2 linked regions of the Ovis aries genome follow. The protein of the gene in region 1 interacts with the protein of each later gene in a pairwise test. Links are inferred from orthologs where the notes say so. Each region holds a gene or a part of one and is shown in the gene's direction. Other genes may lie near its edges.

Region 1 (3,808 bases):
TACGCCAGGGCCTGTGGTCGGGAGAGGGCGGTGTGGGCGCAGCTGCCAGGTTTGGGAGTCAGGCTCGGCCGAGGTGCCTGCAGCCGCCTGTGGGTCGGATGGGGCCCAGGGCAGGAGGGTGGCCCGAGCAGCGCTCGGCTGCCGCAGATGCCTTGGGCCGGCCTCAGGGCCGCTGTGACGGCGCCTCTCGCGTTGCAGGCGTGGTGTCCTTGGTTGCTGTCCACCCCTCCACAGTGAACTCTCTCGGGAAGCAGCTCCTGCCAAAGACCTTTGGACAGTCCAACGTCAACATCTCGCAGCAAGTGGTAAGGCCGGGAGGCTTGCCGTCCAAGGCCACGGTCTCGGGTGCGGGGCCGGTGCCGGGCGTCCCCGGCGCGGGGCTGCCTGCCTGCGGCTTCCCAGCCGCTCCTGCCTCTGCCCTCGTGGGGCCTGTGGGCGGTGCATGCCCTCGGGTGGGCCGGCTGCTCCTGGCCGGGGCTGGTTGCCTGCCCGGGACGTGGGGCTGACACTGGACCAGCCTCTCATGGGTTCAGGGCTTGCAGACGCAGGGCTGGCACTGGGCCAGCCTTTCGTGATTTGGGGCTTGCGGATGCGGGGCTGGCACCGGGCCAGCCTCTTGTGGGATCGGGGCTCTGCGGATGCGGGCCGTGGCTGCTCTGGCCTTCCTGGTTGGCGGGAGGGGTCAGACTCCCGGGGCCTCGCCCGGTGCCCCCCAGGAGCCCCGCCAGCTCCTGCCTGCAGGCTCGACGGCCTCTTCCTGATGCGACCCGTGGCCATGAGCGGTGGGGCGTTCGTGTCCCACCCGCGCCTGTGGCCTGGCCCCCCGGCAGGTGCGTGACGGCCTGTCGCTCAGCCCCACTGTGACGGTGACCGCGTTGGCTCAGCAGCTTTGCTGCAACACTCCACGTAGTGCGTGGAGGCTGGGGCCTTCCTGGAACATCACAGTCAGTGAACGTCTTTCTGATGGAAGCTATAATTCACGTCGTCTTATTTTGTAGGTGCTGTGTGTTGTTTCATAGCAGAGTCACAGCTGAGAGTGGCTCGGGGAGCGTAGGGACAGCTCTCGTGCTGTTTCCAGTTTAAATAGAGGGAGCAGGAGTGACACGGAGGTTCCTGTCGGTGTCCCGACCTTCAGCCCCTTAGCGGACGCTCCCCCACGGCTTCCCAGAGCCGGCTCAGGCCGAGCTCATCAGCCGGCACGATCTTCCCCACACCCCGGTGCCTCTCCGGCTGGGCACAGAGAGCTGGGGGTTCTCACAGGAGGTCGGTGGAAAGCAGTGGAAATCAGGGTGTGAGGGTGGAATGAGCACCCACAGGGCCCTCTGTGAGGCTGAGGTACCGCCCACGGGCATGGGGTGCCCTGCCCGCCCCCATGTCCCGTGTGGTCCAGGAAGGCCGCCTTGGGAATGCACAGCCAGTGGGCACCTGCTCTCCCTGCAGGGCAGCTGTGGCTGAGGGGGGTGTTCTCCGGGTGGGCGGGGAGCAGGCCCCAGCGGGGGGCCAGGGACCAAGGCAGGGGGTCGGCAAGCCTGGCCGTGGGCGGCGCGCCGTCCCGAGCCCGTTTTCCTGAGCGCTGGAGGGACGGCTCTCGAGGAGATGAGCCGTGACCCGGGGCCTCCTCAGCACTCACTCTCGAGGCCTCGGCTCTGGGGATTCTTGCCGTCCACCCTGGTCCAGTCTGGGACACAGGTGCCGTTTGATCACTTTCTAGAACACACGCTGTTTGATTTCATATCTCTTGAATGAGAGTGAAACGCTGGTGATGCTTTGATCATTGGGAACGTGGATTAAGAGACTGGGACTCAGCTGAGCTGTTTTCCCTTCCATGGTCTGGATCGCTGATATTCATAGGTGACCTGGGCTTAGGGGTGATTTGCAAAGTGCCAGGTCAGCTGTATCAGCGCTGCGGCAGGTAGCCCTTATCCTGCTAAGCAGCGGACCAGGGGGAGCATCCAGCTTAAAATAGCACAGCCGTGGCCCGCCCTCCACCGCCAGCGCGGGGGGCCTGGGCCTCCCACGCCGGTCACCAGGAAGCACTGCTTCTGAGTGGTTTCTGGGCTCAGGCACGAGTCCCTGGGGAGCCGAGCTCCTGCTTGGCTGGATGAGGCGGTGTGTGCATGCCCTGTGAACGCGGGGCCACAGGGCAGGGCTTCTGGGCTGCGTGTCTGTGCCCGAGCAGTGGGCGCCTGCCTCTGCCCCGGTGGCGCTGCACCCCACCCCCGCCCTGCGCTGGCCAGGGTGCCCAGGGCTCCCTGCGTGGGTGAGCGGGTGCTGGGGTCGCCGCAGTGAGCCCCACTGGCCCTGGGTTCTTTTCCTCTTCGTCTCCGGGGCTCGTTGCTGCCCCAGTGAAGCAGAGTCTCATCTCTGGGTTGCGGGGGAAGGAGGTGAAAGTGGGGCATGCGGGTCTCAGAGCTGTCTCCAGCCACCTGTGTGCAGCAGGCGGAAGGCAGCCAGGGCTCCGGGGGCTCTCGGGACCCTCCTCCAGCCTCTGGTTAACGACACTCAGCGGCGGCTGTAGGTTACAGGAACTGATGAGGCGGCAGTGTCATGCGTGGGAGATTCTGACTGTTCTGAATTGTCTCTTTTGACTGTAGGTGATTGGTACACCTCAGAGGCCTGCAGCGCCAAACACTATCGTGGTAGGCAGCCCACACACCCCGAACACTCACTTCGTCTCCCAGAACCAGCCTTCAGAGCCCTCTCCTTGGTCTGCTGGGTGAGCACTTGCCTGGAACACCCCCCACCCAGCCTCTGTGCGCGCGTGGGCACCAGCGTGCCGGAGGAGCCGGCAGTGGCCCCGCGGGCCCTCGAGAGGCCAGGCCGTGGGCAGCCGCCCTGGCTCCACTGAGGGCTGGGCTCCGGCCTCTAAGCGCACTGTCCATGCTGGAAAGTACCGTCTGTGGAGCCCCAGGAAACGGGTGGGTCTTCCAGCCTCTCCCCTGCTGCTAAACGTGGCTGTGGGCAGCCCCGTGCCGCGGTCACACTGTTGCCTGGATCTTTTCCTCCAAAAGCAAAGTAACGTGAAACAGTTTTACTCAGAGGTCAGCTGTGCGACTGTCCTTAAAGACAAAAAGCTACTCGTTCTAAAGCAACAACCATCAGTCCCCGAAACCCCCCAGTGGGGAACCTGGGTGGCCCTTCCCCTGATGTGGCGACTTAGAAGGTCAGGTGTTGGGTCTCCCTCCCAGCTGCCATGTGGCCTCGTCTCAGCAGAGCTGCGTTCGCCCCAAATTCCGAAATTTGCAGCTAAACTTCCGTAGCTCCTCACAGCCAAGGATGTTTATTACCAAGCACCGTGTAGCATCTGGACACCAGTCCTGCGTGTCCCGGGTCCTGCCCTGCTTTCCCCTAGACTTGAAGAGACGTGTGGGGCGCAGCCCCGTGGAAGTTTGTGCTGCAGCCTTTCAAGGAGGGGGGTCCCTGGAGGGGGGTCCCTGGACGGGGGCCGGAGCCAGGCTCCCACCCCTCCTCTGTTGGGCATGGCCCATGGGGGCCCCTGGCGGCACGAGCCGGCCCCCAGACGCGGGTGTGGCCGGCCCGCGCTGCGAGCTGAGGCTGCGGCCGCTCCGCGCTGTCCCGCAGGAAGCGCAACCGGAAAGGAGAGAAGAACGGGAAGGGGCTGCGGCACTTCTCCATGAAGGTGTGCGAGAAGGTGCAGCGCAAGGGGACGACGTCCTACAACGAGGTGGCCGACGAGCTGGTGGCCGAGTTCAGCGCGGCCGACAGCCACATCCTGCCCAGCGAGTCGGTGAGCGCGTCGGGCGGGCGGGTGCGGAGGCGGCCCCGGAGCCCTGGAGAGGCCGCCCCG
Region 2 (3,808 bases), on another chromosome or scaffold:
GTTGATAGTGATCTTTTTCTTTTAAAGAGGGTCTGATCTTAGCAATTTTGGAGCAGTGCCCCAGCAGAAGAAGCTGCAGGAGGAGCTGTCTGACTTATCAGCAATGGAAGATGCCCTGGATGAGTTAATCAAGGATTGTGCTCAGCAGTTGTTTGAGTTAACAGATGACAAAGAAAATGAAAGATATCCTTTAATCTGTACCCTAAAAAAAAATCTCCCAAAGCAATTACCTTAAATAGTAGGCTCAGCTTGGAAATTTAGTTAATATATTTAAGATACAAAACCAGACCTTTTGAAGTGAATGAACTGCTATAGAAATCATACTGAAACTGCCTTTCCAGTCCACCAGGCCTGACGCAGTTGGATGGTCATGCTCTTCAGTTTAGTGTCTCTGGGACCAAAGGGGGAGATTGTCTTTGATTCTGATCTCTCCCCTAGTCTCCTAGACAGTTTTGCTGCCGTGTTCCCCATGCAGCACCTTTCTGAGGTGTCACCGATACTGAGCTAGTCCACGTTTCAAATTTACTGAGGTTCTACACCAGTCAAAAACTCCTGTTTCCACAATACAGTTATTGGAAGGAAAGTAAATGCTGTCACTGGACTCAGTCAAAAAGGTCTGTGGAGTTAAAAAAAAAAAATGCTGGGGAAACCCTTTAAATCAGGTAAATGGTAAAATTTCAAGCAATACAATAAAATGAGAAAAATTCAGGTAGCAAGATGGAAAATAGTTTGGGATGAGAGCACTCCCATGAGTACGTGATAGTCCTGAAAAACTGGTTCTAAGTTGTTTCTACTACTAACAGATTCTTTCTCCCTTACATTTTAGGAGATTCTCATCAAAACACTTTTTTTCCCCTAGAGGTTCTCATAAGATGTAACAATGATAGGGAAAAGTACAAGGAGGTTTGAATACCTTCGTGTGGTGTCTTTGTTTTAAACACCCAGACTTTATTACTATTTTTTCTCCAGAAAGTGTCATCACTATCACAGTAGTATAAAAGAATTCTTTTGAGTTATATTGTAAAACACTTCATGAAATCCTAAGGATCGTTGATGAAATAGTAAGAATTACATATGAAATTATTTTTTAATCTCCACCCTCTGTTTAGAGACCCTTAACTGATTTTTACACTAGCATATGTGACGTATCAAGACATTCACAGCATCCAAGCCTTCTATGAACAGATTGTAATTGCAGTTAAAGCGCCGGCAGAAACCAGATTGGATGTTCCAGCTCCCAAAGAGGTAGGTAGCCCTGCTTTTGTGTGTGTGTGTGTGCATGCGCGCACCTACGTGCATGCGTGTTTGTGTGTGTGTGCATGTGCTTAGTTGCTCAAGTCACGTCTGACTCTTTGCCACCTATGGACTTTAGCCCACCAAGCTCTTCTGTACGTGGGGATTCTCCAAGCAAGAATTCTCCACCCCACCCCACCCCCCACTCCCGTTCTTAAGAAGGTTTAAAGGGAAACGGGCTTCCCTGGTGGCTCAGCAGTAAAGAATCCACCTACGGTGCAGGAGATGCGGGTTCAGTCCCTGTGTTGGGAAGATCCCCTGGAGAAGAAAATGGCAACCCACTCCAGTGTTCTTGCTGGAAAGTCCCATGGACGGAGGAGCCTGGTGGACTGCAGTCCATGGGTCACAGAGAATTGGACACAACTGTGTGACTAAACAACAACAAAGGCAGGCAAGCCAGCTGCGGCAGCTGTGCGTTGTTGCAGTCCCAGTAACTTAATAACTAGTGTGCATGTTAGCTGCATCCCTGATCCACAGCTCAAGGCTCTTCACCCATTTTAATGTGTTTAATGTGTTTTGAGTAACAGAAACTCAGTAGTCATGATTATTGTCCTCTTACAGATGAGAAATCTAAAGCACAGAATGATAAACTTTCTTACCATCATACAGTAAGTGAGAGAAACAGAATTCAAACCCAGACAGTTTGGTTTCAGAGTCTGTTCTTAGCCATCGTACTATCATGGGCTCTTAGAGGAATCACCAAGAATTGGCCTCAGTGTTAAGATCCAGTGTCAAACAGGGCTCTGGGGAATTAGCTCACTAGCCAAACTCATAAAAGACTCAACAGAGAAAGGAGGACTCTAAGTTAAACATTTAAAATGAAAAGTAAAATTAATGTGTGTGGAAATACTGTCCACTGCTTACAGGAAAGTTTGTGTTGAAAGATACTCGTTGAAGATGCGTGTTCAGGGTGGAATCAGAATCAAGGAGTGAGACCATTCTTAGGACAGATGGAGTGCTGAAGGCCTGATAGACTGAAGTCGTGCTGAAGTACTGAAGTTGTGTCTTCTTCTTTGCAATAGGGGACTTAACCTCCCTCAGTGAAGCAGCTCCTACCCACCTTCCCTTTTATCCCCAGAAGACCACAGTGCACGTGAGACCCTAGCTGTTAACTGGACAGTGTATGACAGACAGTTAAGGAGCACCTTTTGTTTATTCCAGTCACACTCAAGTTGTGACTTCGAAGTGATACTTCCTAGTGAGTGCTTCCTGTGGTTCAGTCTAAGCAAGTACATGATATTCTCAAATATATGACAGCAAAGAAACTACCTGGATGAGAATTTCCAAAAGTGTCCCTTGAAACTTTAACAGTTCTAATAAGTGAAAAAATGTAATTCATGAATCCTCTCATTCATCTTAATGCTTTCTGTGTCTTTTGCTAGGATTCTATCACAGTACATATCAGGAGCACCAAAGGACCCATTGATGTTTATTTATGTGAAGTGGAGCAGGGTTCCCACTCAAGTAATAAAACTTCGGACAGTGTAGGGACCTCTTCATCCAAAAGCAAGCCTTTGGAGCACCCTCAACCTGAGAAAGGTAAACAGGCCGATTTAAAACGATTTTTTAAATGTGTATAGTTTTACAAATGAATATTGTGAATATGAAAATTAATAATATAAAATGAATATTATGGCCTTAGAGGTATTTTTACTCTTCCTAGCTACAAAAACATGAGTTAAAAATTATGCTATAGTTGCTTACTGCTTCTAACAACCCTGTTGTTAAATCCCATGTAATTTTAATATCCGTGAAAAGTTAGAATGGTTGGTTTTGGAGTGTGGTCTCTGTAGAGCAGGCTGTCTGATCCTCTGACCCAGGCCCTCAGGCTCATGCTTGAGTCCTGGTTTATTATTCTTGTGAGACTGGAAACATTAGCCTTATGCCACTCACGTAAGAATATGGTTCTTGACTGAGGTCTTCCTATTTTATCTCGAAAGTTCTCTTAGCTGCCTGCCTTTGAGACCATCATTTAGGAAGATTTCTCCCGTGTTTGTTATCTTTCAGAAGAAAATCTTCCACAGCAAAGTGAAGAAGTGCTTGAAGTGAGCAACTGATGGTGTTTGAGGGTCCATGTGTTGAGTCTCTTGGACTCCTGTGTGGACGAAGATCCTCAGAGCAATAAATCATCCCTGCCATTTTCTCATGCTTGGTAGCCGCAAGAAGGCCAGGAATGCCTCCAAGCACTTTGCTGCTTAGATTTCTGGATAATGGCGGTTTCTGCATTTGAAAGCAGCTCTTTTTATAATTATTCACTGCTTTTTTGCCAGTGAAGCGGTCATCTTGCCTACTGAAATTACTGAATCACACAACTGTGAAACAGACAGGCAGGCAGGGTAGACAGCTCCTCGTGGACTCTGCCCTTTGCCGCGCAGATCATGTGTCGTCGTCACAAAAGTTGCCTTACACAGGGTCATGTCTGCGTGGACGGGTGTGTGCACGCACCTGATGTGACATCTTTGTACATATTTGTATAATGTCTAGATCACTTGTGAAATACGTCTTGAGTGAGACT

Evidence for each region.
Region 2: the proteins of TFDP1 (region 1) and E2F6 interact in binary tests that used the Homo sapiens proteins (3 or more experiments, as listed by UniProt). The link is inferred for Ovis aries from reciprocal best matches to the Homo sapiens genes TFDP1 and E2F6.

The regions. Positions count from the first base shown.
Region 1 is NC_056063.1:86,062,738-86,066,545, forward strand, and holds part of TFDP1 (transcription factor Dp-1), read left to right. Parts: intron 1-198; coding exon 199-305; intron 306-2,594; coding exon 2,595-2,716; intron 2,717-3,582; coding exon 3,583-3,748; intron 3,749-3,808. UniProt on the Homo sapiens protein: Can stimulate E2F-dependent transcription.
Region 2 is NC_056056.1:20,407,471-20,411,278, reverse strand, and holds part of E2F6 (transcription factor E2F6), read left to right. Parts: intron 1-27; coding exon 28-184; intron 185-1,131; coding exon 1,132-1,245; intron 1,246-2,675; coding exon 2,676-2,832; intron 2,833-3,300; coding exon 3,301-3,350; 3' UTR 3,351-3,808. UniProt on the Homo sapiens protein: Inhibitor of E2F-dependent transcription. Binds DNA cooperatively with DP proteins through the E2 recognition site, 5'-TTTC[CG]CGC-3'. Has a preference for the 5'-TTTCCCGC-3' E2F recognition site.